Lonchura striata: one gene and its partners. The protein of the gene in region 2 interacts with the protein of the main gene of each other region in a pairwise test. Links are inferred from orthologs where the notes say so. Each region holds a gene or a part of one and is shown on either strand. Other genes may lie near its edges. The genes, in order: FAM124B, TLE5, CIB3 and OSGIN1.

Region 1 (7,512 bases), on a different chromosome or scaffold from region 2:
TTTTTTTTTTTTTTTTTTTTTTTTGTATTCATATAACCTCTGGACTGCACACTTCAACAGACAAGGCAGAGATTTCCTAGGACACAGCTCTTTATCACTTTTGCCCAACTACAAACTCACTTGTGATCTCACAACCTCAATTGCAGGCAGTGCTGCATCAACATTACACTTACAAAACTTCTGGTTTTGGATGCCAAAAATATGCTTTGAAAAACATTTATGCAGCAATGTCATATCAGAAAAAGATTAGGCTGCTGCAATCATTTTTTTTGAGGCAGAGGAGGGAAGATGTTAAGCTAGTGTGCCCTAGAAATCATGAAATCATTAATAGTCTGCATTTCAGGCAAACAGTAATGACGTTAATTTAACTGTATAAAAACATTCCAAGGATCAGTGCTTATATTTATCAACAGCATCACAGCACTGGCAGACACCGATTACTGCATTCACAAATTCAAAAGAAACATGAACAAACAAAATCATAATTTCCATTTTGAACCAGACCTACTTTCCTTGGAAAAAAAGTAGATAAACCCTCCTCTTGAGAGCACCACAGACATACCTTGAGCAGAATTGTATTCCCTTCATAGTCCTGAGTTTGCCACCTGGTGCTACTGATGGGAACGCAGGGGTTGGGCAGGAGGGGCACCAGCTGCCCGATTTCCTGCACCTTGAACTGCAGGGCTGACGAGTCGGGGGGCTCGGCCGTCACCCCCATGGGCAGCTGCTTCAGGCACAGCTGCACGGCCACGTGTGGGGTGGCGTGCAGCACGAAGACACACAGAGTGCTTTTCTGCAGGGTGGCTTCCTTCTGGAGGATCATCTCGTAGAGCCTCACCGCATCCTCGTAGTTCTCAAAGCTGCAGTAGAGGGTGACCCGCAGGATTTCGGGGCCGCAGCGCACCCGGCGGATGCCCCACACGGGCAGCTGCTCATCCAGGCCGTAGAAGTCCTGGTGGGATGGGGCATAGGGGGAGCTTTGCCCGTTAGCAAACTGGGCACGCTGGTACCGCCAGGGAGGGCGCTGGAATTGCTCGTGGACCTGGAAAATCCGTTCTTCTCCCAAGTCCTCGTGCAGAAAAAGCAGGACGGATATTCCGGGAAAGCTGCAGCTCCTCTTGCGGTATCTCTCGTAGTACTTCAGGGGAGGAATTCGCTCAGACACCAAGAAAAGGCGAATGTCCAGGCACAGCCAGTCCAAAAGCCGGTCCAGAGTCTGCTGCAGAGGAAATGACTGTCCCAAATGGGTGAGCAGATGCACAGTCATCAGAGACTCTGCTCCATCATCCATTGCAAAGACTCCAGGCAAAAGATTAAAACAGACGAATTGGCGCCTTCCTTTTACTCTTTGCCTCGGGAACACAAGGGTGTATTCGCAGCCTCGAACAGAACGAGCTCGGGCTCCTACAGGCTTTGCAGTAACCAGCTGAAGCACAGCGAAGGTGCAGAGGGGGCAGGTGCAGAGAGCGGTCCCAGCTCACATCCCAGCGGAGCTCGGCTCCAGGCTCACTCCCGGCTCCGGGGCTCTGGTCACTGCCTACCTGCGACCCAAGTGTGCAGGAGCAGCACTGCACCCGCTGCTCCTGCCGGCCACAGCACAAGCACCGCGGAGATGCACAGCACTGGAACACAAGCAGCGATTTTCCAGGGTGAGGCGATGCTCACCGGTCTCCTGGCAGTGGAAGTGGCCGCTCCGGACTCCAGCCGAGTCCCACCAGTGCAATCACTGCCTTTTGCAAAGCCCATGTGGCACTCGTGGCCGAAACCCTAAGCAAATTTCCTTGTAGTCAGCAGGCTGGCTTTGGCTCATTGTAAAAAGCCTGTGATCTCTGTGAGTCCCACCCTGCTGGGGCACACAGATAAGCTATTCTTTGAAAACAAGGAAGGAAAACAAAATTACAAAATAAAAAAGACCAACCATGTGAATGTAACAGATAACAATAAGGGCAGATATAAATCAGGAAAGAGGAGCTTTGGGAAAAACCTTAACTCGTAATTACACCCTTCACAACACATGTAACTTGCTGCCTAACTGCCAGGAAACCAGGTCCTGGGTTATTGTACATCACCCATAGAAGCTGGATACTAGGCTTCCCATTTTCAGTGTCCCCTTTGCTGCTTTTTTCTCCTTTATATTTTTTTTTTTCTGAGATACTCATGTAACAGCAGCCTTAATCAAAGTCCAAGGATTTTTTTTCTTGCTCCTTGGGTTTACATGTTGATACTTAGCTTACTGCATAAGCTACAATAGGAATGCTGAAAATACACTCCTTTCCAGGTCTCTTCTAGTGTGGACAATAAATCACACTGTCCCTTCATCTCCCTATTTGCCAGCCCAGCAGCAGCACAATACAGGTCAAGCCAAATCCACTTCCTATACAGAGCTGCCCCCACTGTAGCCAGTTTGTAAATCAAAACTGGGGCCTCTGGTGATGTGTCCAGCTCCATCTAATTAAGGGCAGCACATTTCTCTCTGCTGACATGCCAACTTCCTTCTCAAACAGCTAAGCACACAAAGCAGTGGTTCACTGTTAAGAAATCCCAGCATTAGTAAGTCTGTTATTCAAAATTCTGAACTATTTTTTTAATATGACCCTAACTTTATATTCAACTAAGTAAAATCTCCGAGGTCTAAAGGTATAAGCAGCAGTGCCTTGGTTTCCTTTAGGGAGATCTCTCTCACTGGTAGAAACTCACATTCATGCTTTAAAGTATACACTGACACCTATGTACAATAAAAATGAAAAAAAAAAAGTCTAGAAAATGAGAAAAAAAATTATTTTGCACCTACCTGCAACACTTTGAGCAAGTAACAACTGCTGTTGGGAAGCATGCAAAAACAAAATCCAGCCTTCAGACAATTGCAGGAAGAGAGTGAAGAGTGCAAGTGCTCAAAGCATTAAAATGCTCTAGATGAGCTCTGAACAACACAATTTCACTAAAATATGGAAAAGGAAATGATTCATCAACTCCTTGCTACAGGGCAGGGGCAGGCAGTCATCTGCCTTCCTGCCTGTGAAGAACAGGGAGTTTGCCGGGACAGGAAAACCCTGGAACTCAGCAAATTCATCAGGGTTTGGTTTGTGGCTGGAAGCAGCTCCCATGAGCAGGGTCCCCTGTTCCCACCCCAGCTGAAGATCCTGGGGCTGCTGCTGCAGCACAGCCCAGTGCCTGCCCCACTGCCCCTCCTCGCTGGTGGCAGGACCCCCAGTGCTGTCCCTGCACGCTGCTCCCTCTCAGGGCAGTGAGCAGCAGCACGGGGAGGCTTTCCTCTTGCAGTGCCATCACTGCTGGCTGGGGCAGCTCTCAGCCCCAGCCCTGCTCCAATCTGCTGGAGAAAATCCAGGGGGTATCTGCAGCTCTGTGGTGAAGGTGACAGAGGACTGGGGATGTGAAACCTTGCAGAGCAAGTGGAGAGTAAGGGCTGCTTAGGGAGTGATGCAGAAACCTTAACCCTCTCCAGCCCCCACTGTGGCTGGGGGAGCCAAATTGTTTTCCAGATGGGCAAGTGCCTTCCACAGAGGCTCATGAAGGTATGCACCACCTCTCTTGTTTTTACAACAGCCAAAAAATCTGAGCCTTACTCACAAAAAGGGTTAAATTCTGAACCCTCCACCAAGTGTTTCTTCTGTGTTTGCAGGGGTGAGACAGGGAAACAATCTCAGCTCTGAAACCCTACCTGATGAAGCTGCCTGGAGAACAATTTTGGGGCTGGTTCTCAGCTCTCCAGCAGCTCTGGGTCAGGAGAACCCACCAATCCTCCTGCAAGGAGCACAAGAACAGCTGAAGCTCAGCCTTTGCCTGACCCTCTCCCTCAGAGGGGGGCAGCCCCACTACCCAGCCAAACCCTCCTGTTCCTCTTTTCACTTGCTCTGACAGCTCAATGTCCTTGGGGAAGGCCTCAAACCAGGCTCCTCAGCCTTGGACAAGGGTATCCTCATGCCCTCCTTTCATCTCCTGTCTACTGCCCCCCAAACCTTGGGATAAAGGCTGGGTGCAATGGCCCTCACTGCTGCAGCCTGGTGAGCTTCATCCACTGCAGGTCTCAGGGGAAAAGGGATGGCTGCACCAGAACAAAGTGCTGGCTTTTGCTGGATCTTCTAAGGAAAGCAAAGTGCTGATTTCACTCTGATCCCTGAATGGAATGAGTCCTTGTCTTCCTCTCTGCTTCCCCTTCCCCCAGCTTCCCAGTCTGCCTGCCAAATGGAAAAGCACATTTTTCATAGTGACCTACTGAACGTGCCAAGAAAGATTTCTTCAAGAGATTAGGAAAATAGCAGTTCAATCCTACGTGAAAAGTCACTTTGCTGAGGGGAGGAGGGGTGAACAATTCTGATATGGGACTCAAAAAAACTGGGGCCCCATTCCCACATGGCAGTGACTGGTAACAGAGCAGAACATGCAGGAAGCTGCTGGGGCACTCCAGCTGTGTGTAAGAGCAAGACAAATATGAACTGGCACTAATGCATACACCGGTAAGCCCTGCACAAAAGTCCAAACATAAACAACTAATAAACACTTTATGGTATGAAACCTCAGAGAATACTGTCTGCTGGAAGTGTAAAATTCTACATGGAAAGACACAGCAGGATAATTAAAAATTCCTTTTCATAATCAGTTCCTAAGCTGTGCCTAGTGCTCTGCACTGTTCAGAGCCCTTTGCTCCAGCTGATACCACCAAAACTGATGATGCATCACAGGATTTAATAAGTTAGAGCAACATCTGTAAGGAAGGTACTTTACAAGGATTATTAGAACGTAATTAATTTGAGAGAGACTGAGAATGTATTACCTAAGCACCTTGGGAGAAGGCCTCATTAATACATGATTCAGGCTTCCTAATTTCTTTTAAAAACATTTTTTTTTATTTTACCCCAATCTCAAGATCTGCCTATAACAAGGGAAAAACTAATAAATTAACCTGCTATAGATGACAATTATATACATCACACACAGTACTGAGATAAAAATCAAGATTAAGGCCTTACTTGAATACAAAAATCTTTTCAGAGGTCGTCTCTGGCTTCAAAACCTGTGATTCCAATTCATCACCACTTTGGAGGAACTAAAGGCCCAATGACCAAAATACCAAAACTCCATCTAACTTACTACATTGATTTAAGCAAACTTCTCTCCCAAGCTATTCTTATTTCTTCTTTTTAGCCAACTATCAGAAAGTAGTAATCCAGGCAGGGTCCGTCAGCAGGCAGGAGATGCGGAGAGCTGCGCCGCACACGGTGAGTGGGGACGGCAGCACAGGGACACGAGGAGGGAAGGAGAGGAGAGCAGGGCAGGGCGCAGGCAGCCGGCCCGGGCCGGGCGCTGCGGGACGAGGGAGAGCTCCGGGGCTCCAGGAGGGAAAGAGTGAAGGGAGAGAGGCGGCTCCGAGCCTCGGCTCCCGGGAACGGGAACAGGGATCCCGCAGCCGGGGCTGAACCACAGCTCCCTGCGCACCCGGTGACTACAGTAACGAGAGGAAAACAAAGTTCTCTTCAGCTGACCCAGGCTTTGGGGCAAGGGCAAGGCTAAAAGCAGCACTGGGACACAGATGAGCTTCCTAGTAGTAATAAATACGTTGTAGAAAGGCACTGCATGGCCTTGGTTGGTTTTCATACTCATCTCTCACCAAAGGCAGGTTATGTGTCCTCAGCCAGTCCATTTTTCCTCAGTTTTCAGTTTGTCTAAAATACTTAAAAAAAAAACCAAAAAAAACAACCAAACCAAAGGCACTCCATGCAGGCAAACCAAGACCCACTAAATGTAATGAGCCACTTGGCTATTATAGCAGAAAAAAGTATTTTGTAACAAAGCATTGGTAACAAAGATCTCAGAATAGGTCAGGTGGGAAGGGACCACTGTGGGGCATCTGGTCCAACCTCCCTGCTCAGGCAGGATCAGCCCAGAGCACATGGCATAGGATTGTGTCCAGAGGGTTCTGGAATATCTCTGGTGAGGGGACACTCCACACCCTCTCTGGGCAACCTGATCTAGTGCTGGGTCACTGCACAGTGGAGAAGTTCTTCCTTACATTCAGGTGCAACTTCCTGGCCATCAGTTTCTGCCATTGCCTCTTGTCCTATTGCTTCACACTCCAGAGCAGAGCCTGGTCCGTTCTCTTGACACCCTCCCTTCAGTCCTTATAGACACTGATTTGATCCCCTCTCAACCTTCCTGAGACTGAACAAGCCCAACTCCTCTGGTGTCTTGACTTTGAAGAGCCAACATCCAGCACTGACCCAAGATGGCATCTCCAGGATCCCTCTGCCACGTCCCCAGTGTCAATACACTTCCAGAGATCAGAGTGGGACGAGGGGGAAGTCAGCCTGCTACATGAGAATTTAAGTGCCCAGCTTCAAGGATGTATTTCTGAGAGATTTAACCCAGCAATTTTTATATACATTACGCCTCATTTAAAAATCTTCCAGCAAAAGAAAACAGGCAGATCTAAACAAACCCAAGACTTGCATGGTCCAGTGAAGTGTTTGTTTAATCAGCTTACATTTAGCATTGTTGAAGGCGACTCAAAGCAGAATTCTTGGAAGGCCAGCGGCAGAGCCGGGCGGGACTGCACCCTGCCGAGTGCTAATGAGACGAGTCCCCAGGAGGTGGTGACCTCGACACGAGGCCAAGCTCCAGCCTAAGGAACAGGTCAGACCCACGCACCGTGAAGGCTTCTAATTACTCCCTTTCCTGAAGACAACCTTCCTGAGATACAGAATAATACACCCAAACATCTAATTAAAAGAGGCTTGGCCTGGATCCTGCATTATTCTAGAATTGTACATTTGCATAATTAAGTTGATACCAAATGCTGTGACAGACAAGCTGCAGGAGATTATTAGCCTCATCTTTAACAGAATTTCAAAAGAAGCAAGATCCCAACAGCCAGCAGATATTAGCAGAAGTGGCTCTCGAGGTCTAGGAAACTCAGGTATAACTGGGATTTGTGGCATGTTCTGGTAACTTTGCAAAGGAAAATCTGCACATGAACTTGAAAGCCATTGTAAGGCAGCACCAGGCTCTAATGTAGCATCACTCTGAGAGCTTCAGGAGTTCTTATTGTGAATTTTTCTTCCCAAAAATAGGACTGCTAAAATGAATGCTATGTATAAATGGGGCTGAAGTTGCACCTTCTGGTGGATGCCCCTTTTCTCCATCCAGTTTGGACTGGGGGAGGTGGAACAGGCCTTTGCCTCCTGAGCAGGAATTTCTTCTTTCTTTAGCACAGACAACTGCTGAGAGCAGGCACACTGTCAGGCTGGCTGGAGACCCAAGCATTTGCAAGATTTTCTTTGCAGGTAAAACTGGTGGTGTGTGTGTGTGTGTGTGTGTGTGTAAATAAAAGTCAGATTGTGTCCAAGAAGACCAGAAGCACCAGCCTAAACATCTGTGGCTTTAGAGTGGAATGGGGCAGAGTGCACTTACCGTCTGTGCACTTCTGTAAAAAAGCTGGGCTGTCCTTGAAAAACTTGGCTTAATTTAAAAGATTTTAAAAATAGAGACATTCACATT
Region 2 (7,075 bases):
GGGCAAGCTTCCCCATTAATACACCAGGAAAGCTGTGACCTCTTCTCCTTGTCCCCAGCCCCAAGCACTCCTTGCTCCCCACAGCCTCAGAGTCTGGTCACAAGGGCAGTACAGAAAGATGAAGGGGCCAGCTAGCTCCCTTATTTCTCATTTTTTAAGTCTTAACTCTGCTCTGAAGAGCTGCTCTATTAATTTCTACATCTTATCTCTTCTTTCCAGGGCAGGTGCAGCAGCTGGCAAGCAGGAGCCAGCTCATTTTCATGGACAGTATTGCAGCCTCCCATTAACTCCATGATAGGAAAGGAAGAGACCACAGCCCTGCCTGGCAACCCTCCCCGTGCTGCAAGGGCTCCAGAGGCATTACCTGGCAGGCAAACCCTCACCCTGCTCACCAGAACATGGCTGTTTTCTTGGAAAGCCACAGCCAAGCCTGCTGCCCACACTTGGCACCATTTCTCATGCCTTTACCAAGCACTGCCCTGGGGCTTGCACACCCTGTGCTGGGACACACGTGCCAGCACTCAGCACCACGGCTAAGCGAGGCTGCGAGGTCACCACAAGGTGCACAGGGTTTAGCCCTGGCACAGAAGCTGATTTCTGCTTCTAACTCACACCTGGCTTGTGGGGTTTCCCAGTTTCATGACTTCTCAGAGCACTGCTTTGTCTCTCACTGGCCGTGACCTTCCCAGAGCCCCCAAACACCTGCACACCAGCACCCTGTATCACCTCCTCAGGTGTGTAAGAGCCGTCACTTCCTTTGGGCCAAGGACCCATCAAGCAATCCCCCACCATTTTCTACATCAAAAAACTCCCTCCCACCGTGCATTTCAACAACCCCCTGCATGCAGCCAACACAAAACAGCCCCATTTTGAGAGCAGAGCCAACTCCAGCCCTGCTGAGAGCCCTGGAGCTCTGCGGGGCGTGGGCTCCCTGCCAGGCAGAGCCCAGGCACAGGCACCTGCTGGTGTTGCCACCCACACACTCTGCTCCGGGCTGCTGGGCCGGTCCTTACCATGACGTAGTGACGCTGCATCTCCGATTTCTCGCTGGCTAGTTTGTCACATTCCAACTTCAAGCTGAAAAGCCAGAAAACAGTAAGAAAACCACAAACAGGAGGTGAGAGAGTTGATCGCCTCGGAGCAGCTGCTTCCTGCATGGCCTCATCCCGGCCAGGCTGGATTCTTGGACATCATTATCTGGACTTCAAGGGGTGGCCAGAGCAGAGCTCAGACAGGCTGTGCTGGCACAGTAGTGACCACACAGAACCTGCTCCCAATTTCTCAGCTGGAGCCCTCCCCAGCACACATTCAGGAAAAGGACACAAGGCTATCCACCAGCAGAACACTGACCTCCCTCAGGCAAATCCATTCCACAGGAAGCAGAATGCTGGGGAGAAGCAGAGTTGGCTGCCCAGGGAGGGGTTTGCCTTTCCTCAACAGATCGCTGGCAGCTGGGGACAGATTCTGGCACAGAACCTGTCTGCAGCACTCAAAAGATGTTCCACTACAACATCAAAACCAAAGCCAGACCCACTTCTGGATGGGGGCTGGGGGGGGGAGGCCCAAGTGCAGCACATCCCTCCAGAAGCAAGGATTTTTCCTCTCTCCTAGATTCTTCACACCCTTCAGAGAAAGTGCCGCTGCTCCCAGTGTTTTATGAGACTCCAACTCACCAGCCGAGCAACTGCAGCCAGAATGTGCTGTGGTTTTATGTTTCAAACAAGAAACAGCTTCACCTACACAAAACCTGCTCCTTCTTGAGCAGATTAAGTCCAAGGGGGTGGAGCGGCATGGGGGAAAAGCTTCCCTTTCAGCAGGAACCCCTACTCCCCTGATGGCACTGCCAAGGCACAGAGACACCAGGAAATGGCCACTTCCCAGCAGCTTTTCTGCCTGCTCCTGCCAAAATGACACCACCACAAACTTGTAACCTGCCCGCAGGCAGAGCCCGGGCTGGGGGACATTGCAGCCACATGGCACCAATGCACACACCAAAACCAGTGCCAGGCTGTGGCAGAGGGCATTGCCCAGACAATATAAACCGAAGGGCTTCATGTTTATGTCAGACATAAACACGCACACACACACACGCAAAGCAACAGATTGTCTCAAGCCAGCTTTTGGGTTAGCAGCACTATTTCCACACACATTCACAGAAAAGTAAAAGCATTTGGATTTAAGTGCTCCCTGCAGCATTTGCAGTCCAGGAATGGCAGCCAGCGAGAAAAATTGAGGAAAACTCCCAGCAAAAGGCAGGAGGGCTGGCAAGTGCCTGTGCAGTCCTGGCTGAGCAGCACTTGGAGGAAAGACCTTGGCTGGAGAAGGGAATGGGCGTTCTCCTCGCTGGGCTCCCATGTGGACGCGACCAGCGCCGTGCCCGAGGCGCTCCTCCAGCCAAAGGCGTCCCAAGCTCCGCGAGCGGCTCCCCTTCCCCAAATTCTCGTCCGGCCCCGGGAGCCACGCAAGGAGCAGAAGGACCGGAGCGATCCCCGCGCCCCGGCCGGGACAGCCCCGGGCGCGGGGGCAGCACGTACCTGTGGTACTGGGCCTGCAGCAGCTGGAACTCGTCCTTGATGCGGTCGCACGAGTCGGAGGTCGTGAACTTCAGCTGCTGAGGCAGGTGAGAGGAGCCCTTGAACAACAGGAGACAGCGCTGGGCCGGAGCCGGCGCCCGCCGGGCCCGCCCGCCCCGAGCCCGCCCCGGGGCCCGAGCCCCGCCGGGGGCAGCGCCCAAGGTCACCGGGGGCCCCTCGCCCGGGAGCCGCCCCGCGGCACCGGGAGGCGCTCGATCCCCTCGCCCCCGCGGGGCCGGGGGAGGCCGGGCAGCCCCCGCGGCCCCGCCGGCGCCCGGCCCCGCCCCGCGGCCGCTCCGGCCCCGGGCCGCGCCGTACCGAGTGCCGGCTTTGTGGAAACATCATGTCAGGTTGCGGCTCGGTCCCCGCACGGAGCGGCCCGCTGCCACCGGCTGCCCGCGCCGCCGCCGCCTTTGTCCGCGCCGGGTCCGGCCGCCCCGGCCCCGCGGCCGCCCCGCCCCGGCCGCGCCGCTCGCCCCGCGCCGCTCCCGCCGCCGGCGCCTATTGTCTAATGGCGGCTGCGGCTCCGGCTCCGTCCTGCGGCTGCTCGGCACCACCTGCCGCCGCCGCCGCCTCCCCGGCCCGGGCGGGCCCACGGCCGCGCCCGCCCCCGCCGGTCCCCGCCCCCGCCGCGCGGCGCCGCCGGGCCGGGCCGGGCCGGGCCGCGCTCGGTGCCGCCCTCGGTGCCGCGCTCCCTCGGCGGGGCCCGGGGGATGCTCGGTGCCCTCCCCGCGCTCGGGACGGGCCTTGCCCCGCCGGCCGGGCTGCCCGGCCCTCCCCGCAGCCCCCCGGTGCCGCGGCCCACCGAGAGTCCCTGCCCGTGCCCCGGCCCCGCCGGGAGTCCCTGCCCGTGTCCCGGCCCACCGAGAGTCCCTGCCCGTGCCCCGGCCCCACCGGGAGTCCCTGCCCGTGCCCCGGCCCCGCCGGGAGTCCCTGCCCGTGCCCCGACCCACCGGGAGTCCCTGCCCGTGCCCCGACCCACCGGGAGTCCCTGCCCGTGCCCCCGACCCACCGAGAGTCCCTGCCCGTGCCCCGGCCCCACCGGGAGTCCCTGCCCGTGCCCCGGCCCGCCGAGAGTCCCTGCCCGTGCCCCCGGACCCACCGGGAGTCCCTGCCCGTGCCCCCGGCCCACCGAGAGTCCCTGCCCGTGCCCCCAGCCCACCGGGAGTCCCTGCCCGTGCCCCGGCCCACCGAGAGTCCCTGCCCGTGCCCCGGCCCCACCGGGAGTCCCTGCCCGTGCCCCGGCCCCGCCGGGAGTCCCTGCCCGTGCCCCGACCCACCGAGAGTCCCTGCCCGTGCCCCCGGCCCACCGAGAGTCCCTGCCCGTGCCCCGGCCCCACCGGGAGTCCCTGCCCGTGCCCCGGCCCACCGAGAGTCCCTGCCCGTGCCCGGACTCACCGGGAGTCCCTGCCCGTGCCCCGGCCCCGCCGAGCCCCCGGCCCGGCCCAGGGTCCGGAGCCCCGGAGCGGCCCTTGGTGGGCAGTGAAGCTCCTCGCCCTTCGCAGCTCATTTTCACGCCCTTCCCCAAGCAGAACAGGCTATTTTTATTTATTTTTTTTTTAACCCAGAGTTTCGTTTTGCTTTATTTCAGTGTTGCCCTTGGCTGAGCCTGAGGGAAGGGAAAGGAAAAAGGTAGTTCACCTACAACTGGCCACCAGAGAAAGCTCTGATCTCCAAGCAATGGGATGTGTTCTGCTCTGGATGCAAACTTTGGTCCTAAACCTGCTGCCTGAAGAGGAGACCCTGCAGTTGGTGTCCTGCAGGATCGATTGCATCCCCCCAGAGAGCAGTGGGGTGGGGAATTCAGCCACAGACTTTATTTCTGGAAGGACTTTGTTGCCATGGGGCCTCTTGCAAAGCTGCACACACAAATGTGCCCGTGCTGAGGCAGGATCAAGTCCTTGGAAGCCATTCGGAGAATAGCAGGCAGGAACACGGTACATGTGAGCACACAGAGAGCTTTAATAAATTTTGGATGTTGCTCCATGTCTATCTTTAAAAATCAGTACATTTTCTGATTAAAAATAAAACCCGACATGTCATGACTCCAGCAATGTGGGCTGGCCTGTTGTGGTATTTATTTTTAAAAAGAACAATATAGCAGATGAGTTATTGTGACACCTCCTGCATATTGTGCAGTAGCTTTTTCACTTCAACATCTCCATATTAGTGGAAACTGTGACAGCTTCATGCCAAGGATTATTAATAGTGCAGGCAGGCTTCGTGTCCCTGCAGAATAAGGGTTGGAAAACAGGGCAGACAGTCTGCCCCCAGTGGGGTTGGCATCCTGGTCCCCCTTTTTACGTGGAGAGAAACTGAGTCACCCCAGCTTGAGCTGTGCTCAAGGGCAGAGAAATGCAGTTTATGGTCAGTGTGTGCGTGCAGCCACACCAGGTCCCTGTTGTCCCCTTCCCCTGGTCCTGGAGCAGCACAGGCACCCTGCCCTACACTCGCAACAGCTTGCAGTCACTCCCTTCCAAGTGGGAAATGAAATGCTCCTTTATTGGCATTTCTGTTGGCTACAAAATGTTCCATTTTATCTTTTTTTTTTTTTTTTTCCCTCTCTCCTTACATTCTTCCAGGAAACACTCTAATTTATGGTATAATCTTGGCAAATCCCAGTCCAGGGGAACACAAACTCACTTGTGCCTGGTAAATGACTTTTTAATGGGCTCGTTTCCAGCCAGGCAATGCACCTGCATCTGAAGAAGAGGGGATTTTAGCCTGGCCCAGGCTGAGTCAGGGGCTGGGTATGGTCTGGGAGCAGAGGAGGTGGCCCCAAACACAGCCTGGTGAGCAGTGGGGGTTCCCACAGCCCACCTCAGACCCAGCTTGAGAAATGAAGGTTTTTCCAGCACAGGAAAGGGAGTTCTGTGTAGGAGCTCTCCAAGTGAACCAATATTTTTGTCTGCTGCAAAGCTGTTTGAAGGTAATGTGGGGAAGCCCCCCACTCCCTCAACATCTTGGCCAGGAATAAAAACATGCTGGATTCTTGCTACAACCAGGACTGGCTCGGGGTTGGGCATGCAGGTGGGTTTCCAGAAAGCCATGAGGGACAGAGAGGGCAGAAGCATTTTGTATTTCTAATGGCGCAAGAAACTGTCCCAGTCTCTGGCCCCACTGGAACAATTCATACAGGGATGTCCTAATGAAACCTAGAGAAACTTCCTATTAGTTCCTAAAAGGAGCAGTCTAACAAAGCTGCCAAAAATAAATCTGTGTAATGAAGAGCCTTTGTAAATTATTCAGATATTATATCCCACTCCAGCACTGGTTCAAGGAGAGAGGTTGTACAGACATTTTCTGCTCTGAAGCTCTGGACACAAGGTGAAAGCCATGCTGTCATCATTATGAAAATGAAGGCCCTGAGATCCTGCTTTTACCCTGAGAATACTCTCTCTTTTCCCTGGATTAAAGAGGAAGAAATAAAGAAGGCACAGCAGCAATTCAGGCACTGAGACAAGGAAGGTTTTTTCCATTTTTGCACAGCCTCAGGGTCTCTTTTGAGTGCCATCACCTCAAGCTGCCCACACCCACAGGTGCTTTGCAGGAGTCTGAGCAATTTGGGGCACAGCTCTGGAGTGGCAGGGACAGGACCTCACTGGGTGTGGGGTGGCTCAGCCAGCTCCTCACTTGTGCTTTCAACCCTGTGGCCTCCTTCCAGTAGAAACAGGGCTGAGACCCACCAAACTCATTCAACTTCAGCTGCCCTTGATACCCCACCTGCCAAGAAACCCCAGGCCCTTCCTGGGCTGCAATCCCCCGCTGCTGCCCTGTATTCAGACAGCTGTGAGGCGTTCTGTAAGGGCCAGTGCTGGCAGCTTGTTGGCTATTAGCCACAGCCAGCCCCATGCCACTCTGCTGGGGCTCACTGAGTTCTCCCCTTCCTGCCTCCCTGCTTCCCCAGCCCCTCTTTGCCAGCAGCAGGGCTGGTTCCTGGGGGTTTTTTTTGGGTTTTTTTTTTGTTTTGCCCAGCCCTGCTGCCACACTGACAGCTCTGTCAGGTCTGGGCCACCTGGGATGGGATGGGGAGGCCAGGACTGGTGGTGGAGGTCAGGCACCGGACCTTGGCCCTCTGCCACATCCAGGCCAGACTGCCCCTTATCATCCCTCCTATCACAGAGATTATTGGCTTTTGATATTAAACTTTCTCCAGATAGCATAACACCATCAGCCAGACACCAGGCAAGGGCTGGGCAGGCCAAGCAGTGATTTACACACGACCTGCCTCTCAAGTCCCTCTTTCACAGAAGGGGCTGTTTTCCTTCTCTCCTTCACCACCTCCCAACTCTCCTGCTGCTGTTAGGAGCTGTGCAGGTCTCCCTGCTGCAGCAAAAGGTTGGAATGAGCAGTGGGGCTGCACAGGCTCCCAGGGAGCCAGAAGTGCAGCACTCCTCCCCAGAAACATGGCATTGGCAGGGCACAAATTCTTCCATCACCACCCAACCCCAACTGCTGCAGCCCCTGGGACACCCAGGTGCCCCGATGGGATGCAGCAGTTC
Region 3 (7,922 bases), about 500 kb from region 2:
TGATATAATTGTTAGATGTGATGATTGCTTAGTAATTAATTACTGTTTAATTGTAAGAATAATCATGAGAAACTGTGGTCAGGGGGCCTAAGGAAGATCACGAGAAACTCTTGTCAATGTATACAATAGAACAATATAAATTTAATAAGTTCCCATCCCCATTGTCAGTTTTCCATTCCCAGTTTTCCATCCCCATTCTCATGCCCACTCCCAGATTTCCATTCCTAATTTTCCATTCCCAGTTTCCCACTCCCAGTTTCAGTTTTCCATTCCAAATTTCCAATCCCCATTCCCATCCCCAGTTTTTATGTAAGTTATATAACGATAATAATATAAAATACGTTCAGCTCGAAAGCCATGTCGGAGTCAATTTGGGTCTGTACCCCTGATTCCCAAAGCTCTCAATAAAAGCACCTGCACATAATCATATCCCGCGATGATGTGTGCTCCTGAACGCTAACACAGAGATTAATCACCCCGGGGATGCCGCCTCACCCAACATCTCTACCGGCGAGGGGCTGCCCACAACTCCCTGTCCCCGTTTACCGGCGAGGGGCTGCCCACAACTCCCTGTCCCCGTTTACCGGCGAGGGGCTGCAGGCCACAACTCCCCCGTCCCCGCTGGGCTAAGCGGGGGCCGGCAGCCCGGGGAGCGGAACGCGGCCCCGCAGCCGTCCCAAGGCAGCGGAACCCGCAGCTCCGCGCCGGGCCTCACCTTCCCCTTCAGGTCCAGCACATAGACGGCGCTGGCCGACATCGCCCCGGCCGGGCCCGTCCCGCCCGCCGCTGCCGCTTCCGCTTCCGCAGGAAGTGACGCCGGCGCGGCGGAAGGACACCGCGGCAGCGCCGTTAAATAGTCCCGGCGCGCCGGTCCGCGGGCTGAGCTGGGCACGGACACACGGAGAGCGTAATTCGGGTTAAGAACATCCCGGTTTGGGAGTTCCGACATCGTGATACATCCCTCAGAGGGGGTAACAATCAAACTCCACACGCCCCATTTCATTCCATCCCAAAAAAGGGGTGGAAGCAGCGTTTTAATAAATTACATCGAATTTACAACTTGCAGCAGACCCCTCTGGAAGACAGAAATGATACTGTTGATACTCAAGATAGAAATGATAACTGTTTGCCACAATTACACACTCGAGAGACACGCTGATTATTTATTTCAGAGCTGCACAAGCCTCGATGCTCGGTGGGATCCCAGAAATCCAGCTATCAAAACTTGGACATCACTCAGAGCTTGTTGGCTGCTCTCTATTTTATGGATTAAACCTCCCTTCTTGCTGGTTAGGCTTGAAAGTATACAAAGATCAAATACCAAAGAATATCCTTTCCTAAAACAATTTTACATATTTCATGTTTTGCAACATGGCCTCTGACAGAACTTGATAGAAAGTAATTATACAATTCACATAACTTACAAGAGAAACTTAATGAGACTGTCAGACTCCACTTGAAAAAAGGAGTACTGTTAGAACTAACAAAATAAAAGGAATGTTTTCCATCTGGCTCACAGCAATTCGTTCTGGCCTTAATCTCACTATAAACACTAAAAAAAAACAGCCCTCTCCATCGATGTAAACCAGAGCTCCTCAGCCCACAGGAGACATTGCTGGATGATTGGTTTTAAATAACAAGTCTATAAAATAAGACAGTATGAAGTCATAAAAGCTCAGAAGATGTATTAGACAATATAGAGAAAAGACAGATTTACATGGCAACCCTGCTTGATACAAACAAAACACAACTCCAGCTCCAGAGCCGTGAAAAGCAGCCCGGTCATTTAGTCCAGCTGACTTTGGGAATGTCGTAATGCTCAGTCAGAGTATCCAAGTGCCTGTTGAAGTCCTGGGGGAGGCAAAGAGAAAGAAAACAGGGTGCTGACATCACCAAGTTGAACCACAAGCCCCCCCTGCGTCCCGGCTTGTGTTTCACAAGGCGGAACAGTTCCTTCAGCCCAACAAAACACGCTGGCCTGATGGACTCGGGATGGTTTTGCTCACCTCCACTCGCTGCTTGTGGGTTTTCGACGCTTTCTTCAGGATCCGTTCCATTTGCTGTAGGAGACACATTAAGGCCGGTTACTCCCGGCACTCGCAGCCCCCTCAGCGGCCGCACCCCAGGGGTGACAGCGGCTTTTAAACCCTTACCCGCTTCTCCTGCATCTTCTCGTAGGCCACCTGCGCCGGGGTCCGCTTGTCCAGCCCGCGCTTCTTCTCCTCCTCCTGCTTCTTGCTGCTCACGATCTGCTCCAGCATCTGGGCCTTGTCTTTCGCCTTCTTCTTCTTCCTGCGGGAAGCGCCCGGTCAGAGCTCAGCCCCGGCGCTGTGTGTCCCCTCCTCGCTCACGGTTCTCCCGACCCCTCCTCACCGCTCCCCGTTCTCCCCCGGTTCCCCCCGGCTCCCCCCTCACCGCTTGCCGGCCCCCAGGGCCCCGCCGCTGCCCTTCAGCCGCAGCGGACCGCGCTGCACTGCCTCGTAGTCCGCCATGGCGGAACGGCCGCGCCCGCGCCCCCTGCCGGCACCGCCGCAACGGCACGGCCGGCGCCGGGAGCCGCGCGCGAGCCCCGCCCGGCTTCTCCGTGAGGGGACCGGGAACGAGCCCGCCCGGCTTCTCCGTGAGGGAAACCGGGAACGAGCCCGCCCGGCTTCTCCGTGAGGGGGACCGGGAACGAGCCCGCCCGGCTTCTCCGTGAGGGGAACCGGGAACGAGCCCGCCCGCCTTCTCCGTGAGGGGAATCGGGAACGAGCCCCGCCCGGCTTCTCCGTGAGGGAACCGGCCCGTCCGTGAGGGGAACCGAAGCGGCCATGAGGTGCCTTGCACCTCCGTGAGGGGACCGGCCTCTCAGTGAGGGGAACCGGGACGGCCATAAAGCCGCCTTGCATCTTCGTGAGGGGACCGGCCTCTCCGTGAGGGGAGCCGGGAACGAGCCCGCCCGGCTTCTCCGTGAGGGGAACCGGGACTGCCATGAGCTGCCTTGCATCTTCGTGAGGGGGACCGGGGACGACCCCTGCACGGTTTCTCCGTGAGGGGAACCGGGACTGCCATGAGCTGCCTTAGCACCTCCGTGAGGGGAACCGGTAACGAGCCCCGCCCGCCCCTCCGTGAGGGGAACCGAAGCGGACATTGAGCCGCCTTAGTACCTCCGTGAGGGGAGCGGGCAGTGAGCCCAGTCCGGGGGTATCTCTGTGAGGGGAACCGAAGCAGGACTTGCAAAATATGGAATATATCAAGATTATTTAAAAATAGAATTTTTTTTTGATGTAAACTCTTTCTATACTTTCAAACCTATTCAGCAAGAAAGGAGATGTAATGAATGGGAAGACAGCAGCTAGCAGCCCTTAGTCAACAACATATGGGAATTAACAAGCTTTAGGGATGTAGTAAATCAAAATGTTGATGTATGTGTGTGTATACATTGATAATTTGGCAAAGGATTCAAGGTCTGTATATCCTACAGCTGAACTAGCTGAACTATCTTCATTATAATACTTAAGATCATGCCTAAGGGTCAAAAAGACCTTGCCCAGGTGCAGACCCTTCCCCATTGCATGTGGAGAAGTTAGCTGGGGATTGTCTAACTTGTATGGAAATTACTAAATAATCTTAATAGAGAGGCTGACCTTGGAAAAAGACGATGAACTTCTGTAAATAATGGCGTGGAAAGTCCAGTGGGGTGTGTTGGATTTGTGGAAACCCACCAAGCATCCAGGCTTGTGCAAATAATATCTCTCTCAACTGTGTAATTATTGGCTTGTTGCACATCACATAATAAATCTGATTTTGAGGACAACAGGATGGAATTGCCTTGAGGAGAACACCTGGAGATCTAGGCTACACCAGGAGGGACCAGCCCCATCCCTCCCCACACTTCTTGTTGCACTCTGAACAGAACCATTCCAGATCGTTTTTGCTATGGGAAGATACCCTGAGGAGCAAGCCTGCCCCAGGAAGAGATCTTCCACCAGTCAGAGGGAACCAGTGACCCAGAAATAGAAACTTTACAGCTCCATGAAAAAGCAGCCTGTTCCAGTTCCTCCTTTTTTCCCCTTGTTTTTCATCTTTCATAGCATCACATTTCTGTTCACAGGTATGAACTATACACTCACACATCTTTTCAGTGCAAAGGCCGTGTATGAATCAGTATGGATGGATGTCATGCTAATCACCATTAATTAGTAGTAAGATACGTCAGCAGATGATGCAGAAGGAAGGGAGTGAGCGGAATTTATGGTTACTACCTCCAGTACAAGCTACCACCAGCATTAGTGTATTTTAACAATGTGCATTAAAGGAAAATACTGGCACAGGCTGCCCAGGACAGTGGTGAAGTCACCATCCCTGGAAGTGTTCAAAAAAACATGTGGATGTGGCACCTGAGGACATGGAATATTGGTGATCTTGGCAGTGCTGCATTAATGATCTAAAAGGGCTTTTCCAAGGGCTTTTATAATTCTGACCCTATAAAATATGAGAAGGAAAGGAGGAGGGGCTACCAAATTTCCATCATTTGGTGTTAAATTTTAAAGGAGGAAAATGCTGCTAACACTTTTCAGTTTATTCACCATATCTGAAGGCATGAAAAAGCAGGGTCCACTGGGTCTTCTTGCAACTGAAGGGCACTAATGAGCAGCTATTACTTATTTGGCTAAATCCTGTAACCCGAGTCTTCGTGGTGCACACAGGAGACGGGTGAATGCTGCTGGATAAGAGCCTCAAGCAGCTAGACTAAAGATTTGATGAAATGCTCCTATTATGATACTTTGCAGCCTGTACAAGTTGGTTACCTGATCCTCTGCTGTACCTGAGCCTCATTGTTGCAGCTTTTAATAACTGAATATCCAGAGGACCTATAAAGGTGCCTTTGAGGAAAGAACTGACAGGAGTCAGTATTCCCTGCTCAAAATGGGCAACAAGCAAACCATTTTCACTCAGGAGCAACTGGATGCATATCAGGTATAAAGCAAACTAAATGGCTCTTTGGACAGGGCATTGAATAATGGCAAAGGTATTGTTGGGTTTTTAAAAACATCATCTTTTAAAAATTAATAAGTAGACATACTGAATTGCAGCAAAGATTTTAGTAACATAGTTTGTTTTTTATATCAAAAGGAAAGATTATAAAATATGCCTAAATGTATGCCATTAAGAATTTTTAAATGCTTACATGTACACTATAGTATAAATTCATTTAAGTCACTGCATGGGAAAAGTTTGGGTCGATGCATGCTAAAAACTGTCATTTTGTGTTATACCTTTTCTTACTTCATAGGACTGCACATTTTTCACAAGGAAAGAAATTCTCAGGTGAGTCTTCTGTATGCATGTTGTGAATAAAGGGCAGAGATTGCTGTAAAGGCAGGTTACATATGGAGTAAGGTATTTAAAAAATAATTTTTAAATGGATTTACTAAAATTTAAAGTGATACTTTGGGGCAATCTGAACATTTTTGTTGGCTTTTTTTAAATTTACAAACCCTATCCTTAACTGAGTCAGAATTCTAAATTTTGTATTAACGTACTAGTCCCTCTGTTTATTAGAAATAAATACAATTAATTACATCTTAGTGGCAGCGACATCCATATTTTTTTCACGTGGTTTTCCGACAGATGCTTCAAAGTGTGCTGTTATTCTCTGGAATACTTTGCTGGTTTATGAAAACTTTAATGATTGTGTCAAGTTTTCTTCATGTTTTCTTGTAAATGATTACACTGCTGCTCCAAGACATGTTTTTGCCGAGCCTCACTGAACTCCCTGTTTGATCTCTGGCCAAAGGATCTGATAAAGGCAGGATCGGATGGGACTGAGAGTCCTCTCTGAAAACATGAACTTATTCTCCTCTCACAGGGGTTTGGCTGCATGTCCTGTGTAAGCATTTTCACCTAACAGTTCTATAATGAAGCTCTGTATTTTTCACCAGTTACATGATGTTGCTTGTTCTAATAACAGTTGTTCCAACAAAAACATACTGTTACTTAGTGACCGATCTCCATCTGGTAATGGATGCAAAGAGTGCAAAACGAGGTGGAAAAGCAAACCACCTTGTTCTCAGAAATCCAAAGAGCCAACACGCTTTTCTCTCTGTCTCAGGTTGTTTCACAGGTACCGAGATCTGGCCCCACAGCTCGTTCCCCTTGACTACTCGGACAGACCCGCCGTGACACTCCCCTACGAGCTCATCGGCAGCATGCCAGAGCTCAAGGTACCCAGCACACGACTCGAGTGACACATTTCAGCTTCATCTACCCTTCTTGAATAATTCATCCAGGACTAATTGCTGGGAGGCTGCCATAAAATAAATTTGGGCTATCAAAGTAAAAAGTCTTTCTGGAAGCTTCTAGTAATTCCCAGAAAACACGCTGAAACAACACAAAGGTTAAATAGGGTGTGGCGGTGTGTGCTTCTGATACAGCATTAGACAAGAATTTAAAGGCAGAAAAGGGAGAAATTGCCAAAAAGGTGTTTCAACAAAAATAATCTCACTCCACTTGCCTTGCCTGCACTGAAATCAATGTTAGTAAGTATTGTAAATGCAGGCGAACCCAGTGGGAATAAATGACAATGTCTGACTCAATTCAGAAGGCTGAATTATTTCTTTATTATAACTATGCTAAAATACATTAATATACTATACTAAAACTACATACTACTTTCTCTGACTCTAACTCTCACACAACTTGTGACTCTCTCTGAGAGTCCAGCCCCAGGTGGGTTGGATTGGCCACCAGGCTCAAGCAATCCTCACCAGAATCCAATCAAGCAAACAATTCTCCAAACACATTCCAAATAGGAAAAACAAGGAGCAGAAATATAAATTTTTTTCTCTTTAATTTCTCTCTGTGCACCTCTATGAAATATCCTGAGAGGGAGAGAAATGTGTTTGCCACAAGTAAGGATGACCTTCCCTTGCTCCTGTGCTGTTTCCCAGGACAACCCATTCCGCCAGCGGATAGCAGAGGTGTTCTCAGAGCACGGTGATGGCAATATGACTTTGGATGATTTTCTGGACATGTTTTCTGTGCTAAGTGAAATGGCTCCACGAGACTTGAAAGCTTATTATGCTTTTAAAATTTATGGTGAGTGAGACATGCATAAAAGGTAAGTGGGGAAGTCCTGCAGCTTAATGTATGGCTGCAAAATCCTCACTTTGTCAGCACAGAGATTTCTAGTTACCATTTCTTTTAATTCCACTTGAATGTTTTTCTCCCTTCTCTAAAAACTTCTGGTTTTCTTTATACTTTTGTCTCTAATTTATTTGGTATTAAGATTTACTACCAAATTTACAACTTGAAATAACCTGCAGTTTTCAAAAGCTGATAATCATTAAGAAATAATTCTGTCTGAGGGGCTGCTTGGAAAAGTACAGCACAGGGGATTTGGCTGCCCATGAATCTGTAGGGTGGATTTGGGAGGGGGAGGCAGGGAAGCAAACTGCAGGCTTTTTTACTCCAAGGACAAATGTAAAGATTTTTTTTTTAGATGTGTATTTACAGTTACTTTCTTTATTATCAGCTAAAGACAATATTTCAAACCAACACAATTTTGCTGGAATGATTCAATGACTCCTAGGCTATTATGTTTAGCCATTAAACTACTTACAGTTGTTACCCTTTGAATGAAAAGAAGAAATTAAGAGATTTTTATTTTGTAATTGATTTCTTTTACAAATAGATAGAGGTAACTTCACTTCTGATTTGAGAATTCTACTGATAAAAATCCATCACAGCCTGGGAACCAAACCCCTCTATTGGGCCTTGGCAAACAACCATGTAAAATGCTGACTTTTGTTGCTTTGAATTAACTTTTGTCTCCTTTGTCAGACTTCAACAATGATGATTACATATGCAAATCAGATCTAGAGAAAACTGTTAACAAATTAACCCGGAATGAACTGACCCCAGAAGAAGTCAGCCTCGTG
Region 4 (6,939 bases), on a different chromosome or scaffold from region 2:
AAAACTAGCAGCCTTGTCCAAATTTTTGGAACACAGTTAGTGTCACTTATTGGTTGCCTGTTACTACTTAACTAAGCATTAATCTAAGACTCTTATGCATTTTGCCTGACAGGGCATGAACCACTTAAAAGACATTTTAGTTGTGCTTTCTAATTTAAATAATCTGAAGCATCAAGTTTTGAAGATAGCTGGATCTCAACAAAACTTATGTTCCCAATTTAACTGAGACTCAAAGGTAGTTGTATTCACTACAGAAGATGAACTCCCCTTAAGGCCTCCCCACAGCCCTGGAGACTGAGGGAGCCACAGCCCAACCACCTAAGGATCTCCTTAGCCTTTTGGGTAGGTTCTGCCACATTAACCAAAACCTGCACCACCTTCAGCAGTCTGTGGTCTAAGTTTACCCCCAAATAATCCCTTCCCACAAATCTCCAGAGCTGCAATGAATAGGATTCAGCACCAGCAGCTGGGACTGCCAGAGACACCAAAGGAACAGGACACTGGTGTGAGCAGTGAAACCAGTGAACTGCAGTATCTGCCTGCAGGTCAGCAGCAGTTTCTTCTCCATGATAACAAATAACCCCCTCTCCACAACTGTATTACACAAGAAGAGAAGTGCTTATTAATTTTTCTTAACACAGAGTACACATCTTATTTCTCTGAAACTACTGGGAGCCTGGAAGAGGAAAGCAAGATCTCTGGAAGCAATCTTCCAGGTTTCTGCTCCCCAGCTCCCTGCAGCAGCATGCATGGGAAAACTGCATGCACATCTGCAGGATTTTTGCTGAAGCAGCCCAGCAGAGCCCATGGCAGCAGCTGCAGGGCAGCAGGGCCAGCGCTCACACAAGGAGCCTGCGAGCCTGTCTGTAAGGCGTGAGCACAGCGTCAGTGCTGGGTGCCAGCATTTTTCTAGGGGACTCTGAAGGGGACAAAAAAGGCACAAGCCAGGAGAAGACAGGCTGGCAGTGCTGTTTACTTTAGAGGAAGGTTGCCTTGGCTCCTGGCCACTGCAGCGTGCCACCCCTCTCACCCTGATAAAGCACAGAGCAGCGCCGCACGCTCACTGATAACTCCCTCTGCCACCCTCCCCCTCCTTTCTGCCCCTTCTCACACATGAAAAAGGAGCATTTTCTGCAATCAAACCAAACTGTAACAGCTAGAGGAGCACAGTTGTTAGTCTGATTAAATTACTGGATTTGTACACATGTGACCATTTTTAACCATGGAGTTATTCAGCACCTGGGTTCACAAAACCCCTAATGACATTTTAGTGCTACACATTTTGTTTCCTGAAGACTTGACCCTGAAAATTCTATCAACACAAGATTAACCATCCTTGCATTTCTCTACAAATGGAAGAAGTCCCTTTCATATCCTATAGCTGCCATCTCTATAATTCATAGCTATTAATTTTTATTTTTAAGTAGAAAGTGAATCAGGTGCTGAACCTGCTTATAGCTATTCCCATCCTGTAGGCTAAAGGTTTGACTTTTGGGGGTAAAATTCAGAGCTCAGAGCATCTCAGGCATTTTAGTTTCAGGCCAAACATTCACCTTTCCTGCCATTAGGCATTAAGATGGATTATTTTAATTTTTTTTTCTTTTTTTTTTTTTTTCAGCTTTAGACTCCAATACCTCAAAACCTGAGCAGCTCATACAGTGTAGCAGAGGAAATCCTGTTCCTGCAGAGGCCATTGGAAAGCTATAGGACATTGAAGTTCATTGTCAATCTATACTGAACTAGTTGGCACCAGGAAAAAAGCCTGAGACAGCAAGAAACTTAAGACTGCTCTTCTCACCCTCCTTTTATGTAGTGTAGGTTGCTGGGCACTCACACTTACTCAGCTTAGTGACACTGAGTTTGGCTCCTGCTTTGAGCTTCCTACTTTAAATGAATGTCCCTTTCCTTCTCCTCATTTGAGAGAATGCAAGTTTCACAACTTGGCTTCTTGCTGCTTCCAAAGCATTCCAGTGTCTGTGTGATGTTACATAATTGTTTCTGGCTGAAAAGCTCCCAGCTCACTCTGGGCCAAACTCTGCATACCTTCCTGACACAGCCTCGTGTCTAGAGGGACTATAACTCACAAACTCGGTCAGGGTGGCTCTTACTAGTTCCAGCCTGTAAGCCTGAAACAGGTTTTAAATGAGCAAATGAAAAAGCAAAGATACATTTAGCAAGACAAGGACACTCTGTGAGCCTTGGAGAAATAAAAAGCCAGGTTACATCAGCCACGTGCAGATAGCTCTGCCTGTGAGGTTTTGCTGAAGTAAGAATCACCAAGTGTGGCCAGAACAGCACATGGGGAGAGCTCAAGAGAGCAGTGCAGCTCGGGTATTAACACTGGGGGAGATTAAAAGAGGTACCACAACACTCAGTTTTAAAGAACAATTACAACAGAGATGCAACAATAGTTTTCTTCAGCTTAATTTCCTCATCCACTCACTTGTTTCACTAGTTTAATATTTAATCAATTAGTGCTTTTTTTAAAAAAAGCAGAGATCTTGACAGCTTTTACATGTTATACTTCCCTACAAGTTTCAGAAGCTGTTCTCTCCTTGCACCATCACTCTTACATGTCAGGCCAGTTACCTCCCCAAACACAATTAAACTATGTGGAAAAAATTCAGCTTTGTGGTATGTAATAACACCGTTCTAAAAACACCCCTGTGGTGCTCAGAAACTGATGTTAGGGTACACCAGACAGAGCTCTCTGTACTTACTTGGAGCCTTCTTACCTTTAGCAGCAGGTCTGATGGGAGGTGGGATCTTTATGGGTGACTGTACAGTCAGGAGAGCAAACCAAACTACAAGCCTGGAATCCTCTCGCTGCTCTAAAACAGCTGTTTAAATATAGTAGGCAACTAGCAGCAAGAGAGGAGAGGAGGAGCCAAAATGACTGGAGGTGGAGCAAGGAAAATACCAATAAGCATGAGTCAGCAGGAATATTTCTCTTCCCGGCTCTTGAATGAATGTAGAGAAACTTCCTTAGTAATGTTCAGCTGACTAATGTGACTATAGCAAAAGCAGCTTACAGGAAGCCTGTCACAAGCTCTGCACTGAACAAATATTTCCATTTTTAACCCTCAGGACATCACAGATGTGTAGTGGGTCTGAAAAGATTGATTTCAGTTTGTATTTCTTTTTCTTCAGTGAGATAAAGTGTTTTAAGCCTTTTGCACAATAGCAGTAAAATGAGTCAAACTGCTTGCATAAAACTCAGAACCCACCAGGGGTTTCATCCAAGGTATCTTACTCAATACAGTAATTGATCTGGCTTGCTAAATTTAAAATGCCCTTCACAAATGAAATACCTTTTTCCCAAAGTGTTCAGTTCAAGCAGTAAATGAAGCTCATTTTTATCTCTGAGGCCATCTGTTTGGAAACCACAATTTCCAGGAAATCAGACTGCTGATACACAGTTAAAATGCATACTTTCATTCATGTGATCTAAAAGATAAAAGCATTTCATGAGAAGGATTTCTCTGCTCTTATGACTCCTATCAGAGCAGAATACTTAATATAAAACTCTGTTTTAACTCCACCAGAATAAGTTGTTTTAATAAATGTGAAGCAATCGTTTCACTAAAAGTTTAGTCACCAGTCAATCCTTTGAAAAATCTGACTCAGTAAATACTGTCAGACTGAAGTGGGGGAGTGGGGAGAGGGGTAAGGACTCTTTCAAATTTCCTGGGCCTTTATCCAAGGCAGCATTTGCACAGGGCTCTTAAATAACTCATACAGATTTTTTGACAGCAAAGACTTTTATATGCATTATTCAGATATTTATTGGCATGTAACCAATGTGTCCATGTCAGCCATGGAAAAATTAAGCTTTCAGAGAAAATAAGGCATTTGTTTGTTTAGGTGGTTTAAGACTGCCCTGTTACTAGGTTTTTCAAATCTGTCTTCAATATATTGCAGTCTTGCATGTCAAACATTGTAGAACAAAGATGTTCAAGTCCATACTTGCTGATACCATAGATACAAGACAAAACCATGTATAATGCTTTGGCTGGCTTTGTACTAAGAAAAATAAGGAATACTTCCTATGTGTGCAAATCTGCAGAAATAAAGTTGCCCTCTCTGTAAAAGATAGGATATCCTGTCCATTTCCTACTAGAATTTACAAAACTAGAATCTGTATTACCTTTGCAAATAAAGCCAGGGTGGCTTTCCAAAACCACAAGCTCCATCATAGTTTTGTGCACAGTACAATCCTTTACAGGAAAACGTTCATGTACAATAACCCACTGCCCTTTATTTGCTTGTACAATAAGAACATTTAACATAGCAATTTGGGGACTTCTTTTTTATTGATATCCCAAGAAACACATCACACAGAACAGGCACTTGTCAAAGGAACTGTTTCTCTTTGTGTACCTTGACCGCACAAATGACTGAGCCCAACACTTTGGATAAACTTTCCAGAAGAAGAAGTAATTGAGCAATCTGTAGTTGGCCTTGCAGTCAGCCCTTGACCTACAAACTAATGCAATTCACTTCTATTTTTTTCCTGAAGTGACAAAGCAATTTTGCTGGTGCACAGATTTAAGGACAAAGCCATAACATTGTACTGGGGAATACTTTGCACCTGAACCAACTCCTATGTCCTTAGAAAGACACTTCCTTGTAACTTTTTGACTTTTTACCTCAGGTTATGTAAGTTCTACCTGTCCATCTCCTACTTATGAAATCTGTCAGATAGCCCTGATTCTGCTGTCTCCTGATTTGGGGGAGCTTAAGCTCTGGTGTCAGAATTCATTGCTGCTGACAGCTCATGGCAGAACCTTTCCTACAGCACCTCTCCAGCATCCACCCTTCCCTCTAGCCAGCTTTAAGGTGTACCAGACTGTGCTAAATTATCCTGACAAACTACATTGTTTCATTCATTAGAACTTCATGTTCTGTTGGTTTTTCATAATGAGAGGAACACTCCCAGTGTGATCCTCCGTGGGCCACAGTAGTGCTTTGATGCTTTGGTGTTTCTCTCAATTATGGTAAAACAGAAATCTAAAATTCTGCCTAAGAGAATATTAAGTCTTCTCTTCATTCACTCACACACAGAATGCACATAATTTAATCTAAGACAAAATACAAAATCAAGTGTTGGAAAATCTGATCAAGTATTTTGGTTCCATATGGTCTTTGTGCAGAGCCTAAAACCCAGCTTCACTTTCTTGCTGCCTAAAGCATCTCCATCTTTATCACCCAGAAAAGCTTACACTTAGAGTTATATGTTAACTTAGATACCACAGCTAGGACCCACATATGTAATGATAATAAATGGTTTGACATCAATACTGTAACAGTTTACCTGGGGTTTTTTTGCTTCAGCTAAGAAAACCTACATTTGTCACCAATTCCACAACCCAGACCACATCAGCAAGATGTTCCTTGTAAATGCTGGGGCATCCCCCAGTCAGAAGCAGCAAGTTGTGGCCATACCACTCCTGAGAGCAGTTGGATGTCTGAGATATGTGACTTTCTCTGCTGAATGACAGAGGTAAAAAAAATCCCAGACAATTGCTAGGTCAGACAGAAAAAGCAGCTTAGGCAACTCTAGAAGTATGAGACCCAGTTCTGCTCTCAGTTAAACTTGTGACTTCCTACATGTGTTTGTGCTTTCACATGGCTTCCTCTAAAGAAAGATTTGGCCCAGACCACATATCCCAACTTTCCCATGTCCCTGCCAAGGCCATATCTCTTATGTGTTCATACCTCTTTTTGCACTGTTTAGGCAGCTGGGTCCAAAGGAAGAGAAGTAAAGGTTCACTGCACCCTTTTGTTGTTCACAGGAACATTGACCTCCCAGTCACATAAATGACTGAAACAGTTTTGTCTTAGTAACTTGCTAAATTGTTTGAGAAAAGTAAAAAGCAAAACCTTACATTTTGCTGGACCTAATGTAAGACAGTGATTTTTGCTTTTCCCTGCTTTCAATTCATTACCTTGAAATCACTCCCTGTCTGTTCAAAGAGGGTTGTCTTCCTAAGGCAATGAGATGAAACCAAAGAATTTCACCACCCTTCACTGGCCAGGGGCATCAGCCACTTCCACCACTTTGTCTTAAAAACAGCTGTTAAGAAATAAGCTTGGGGAGGTGAGAATCCATCACACTGCCCAGGAGGGCTGTGAAGATTTACTGTCTGCATTCAGTCATGCCCTTGGCTGCTCTGCAGCAAGGACCTGTGCACAGCACAGTGTGTGCCCCAGTGCCAGTGCCTCACTGGGACATTCCACACCTCCTGTCTGTCCAGGCTTAGGGAGCAAGTATGGAGAGTGCTGGCAGTGGTCAAGAGAGTCCCTGTAAGCACTCCCTGAAAGAGACATTCCCAGTACACTTGTGGAGACAACAGTGCATATTTTGCAGGAATAGTTTACATGTGAAGTACCCACGTAGAGAAGTAGTGGAGTGCCAAGTGGCTGTGCAGGCATTTCCTCAGAAAATGGCCCAGATGGCTGGATGATAGCCAGATCTAGGGTGCTTTTTACTTCCCAGTACATGTGTTTCCTTTCAGAAATTAGTAGGATGCAAAGAGGTCCAGTCCTTAGGCTCCAGGGACTACAGCATGCATGTTTCCCAGGAGTGGATCTCTGCAGATTCTTCATTCCCAAATGCCACAGGCAGAGGAAAGCTCAGCTCATGTGCTCTGCCCTCAGTTCCATCATGAGCTCAGCATCGATGTTTTGGGGAAAAGTAAACACACACACTTTCATGTCAAACAAACAGCATCCATGACCTAGTCAAAGATTAAACTGCACATGAAACTGGTTGGGAATTTTCCTCTTATCTAAATGTCAATATATTAAAAATATTTACATGAATTCTGCATCATTTTTAAATATACAAAATATTTACATGAGTGCTGCATCATTTGAAGATACAGCCTTTAGCTTCTACAGTCAGTCATTGTTTAGTTAGATTCTTTTAGTCTATAT

The links.
Region 1: the proteins of TLE5 (region 2) and FAM124B interact in binary tests that used the Homo sapiens proteins (3 or more experiments, as listed by UniProt). The two-hybrid records come from large-scale screens. The link is inferred for Lonchura striata from reciprocal best matches to the Homo sapiens genes TLE5 and FAM124B.
Region 3: the proteins of TLE5 (region 2) and CIB3 interact in binary tests that used the Homo sapiens proteins (3 or more experiments, as listed by UniProt). The two-hybrid records come from large-scale screens. The link is inferred for Lonchura striata from reciprocal best matches to the Homo sapiens genes TLE5 and CIB3.
Region 4: the proteins of TLE5 (region 2) and OSGIN1 interact in binary tests that used the Homo sapiens proteins (3 or more experiments, as listed by UniProt). The two-hybrid records come from large-scale screens. The link is inferred for Lonchura striata from reciprocal best matches to the Homo sapiens genes TLE5 and OSGIN1.

What each region holds. Positions count from the first base shown.
Region 1 is NC_134612.1:9,560,437-9,567,948, forward strand, and holds the start of FAM124B (protein FAM124B), read right to left. Parts: upstream 3,001-7,512; 5' UTR 2,792-3,000; intron 1,870-2,791; 5' UTR 1,292-1,869; coding exon 563-1,291; intron 1-562.
Region 2 is NC_134630.1:4,158,637-4,165,711, reverse strand, and holds the start of TLE5 (TLE family member 5), read right to left. Parts: upstream 3,012-7,075; 5' UTR 2,919-3,011; coding exon 2,892-2,918; intron 2,633-2,891; coding exon 2,535-2,632; intron 1,078-2,534; coding exon 1,014-1,077; intron 1-1,013. UniProt on the Homo sapiens protein: Transcriptional corepressor. Acts as a dominant repressor towards other family members. Inhibits NF-kappa-B-regulated gene expression. May be required for the initiation and maintenance of the differentiated state.
Region 3 is NC_134630.1:4,655,260-4,663,181, forward strand, and holds the start of CIB3 (calcium and integrin-binding family member 3), read left to right. Parts: upstream 1-4,908; coding exon 4,909-4,959; intron 4,960-5,275; coding exon 5,276-5,310; intron 5,311-6,094; coding exon 6,095-6,206; intron 6,207-6,932; coding exon 6,933-7,080; intron 7,081-7,824; coding exon 7,825-7,922. Other genes in the region: AP1M1 (AP-1 complex subunit mu-1), read right to left, coding at 716-757; protein FAM32A, read right to left, coding at 1,783-1,851, 2,007-2,060, 2,154-2,292, 2,416-2,492. UniProt on the Homo sapiens protein: Acts a an auxiliary subunit of the sensory mechanoelectrical transduction (MET) channel in hair cells. Plays a role in regulating hair cell MET channel localization and function.
Region 4 is NC_134615.1:15,007,183-15,014,121, reverse strand, and holds the start of OSGIN1 (oxidative stress-induced growth inhibitor 1), read right to left. Parts: upstream 3,003-6,939; 5' UTR 2,736-3,002; exon of another isoform or gene 2,721-2,735; intron 1-2,720. UniProt on the Homo sapiens protein: Monooxygenase catalytic activity. Involved in regulation of cytokinesis; promotes RHOA activity, probably acting locally at the midbody in late cytokinesis.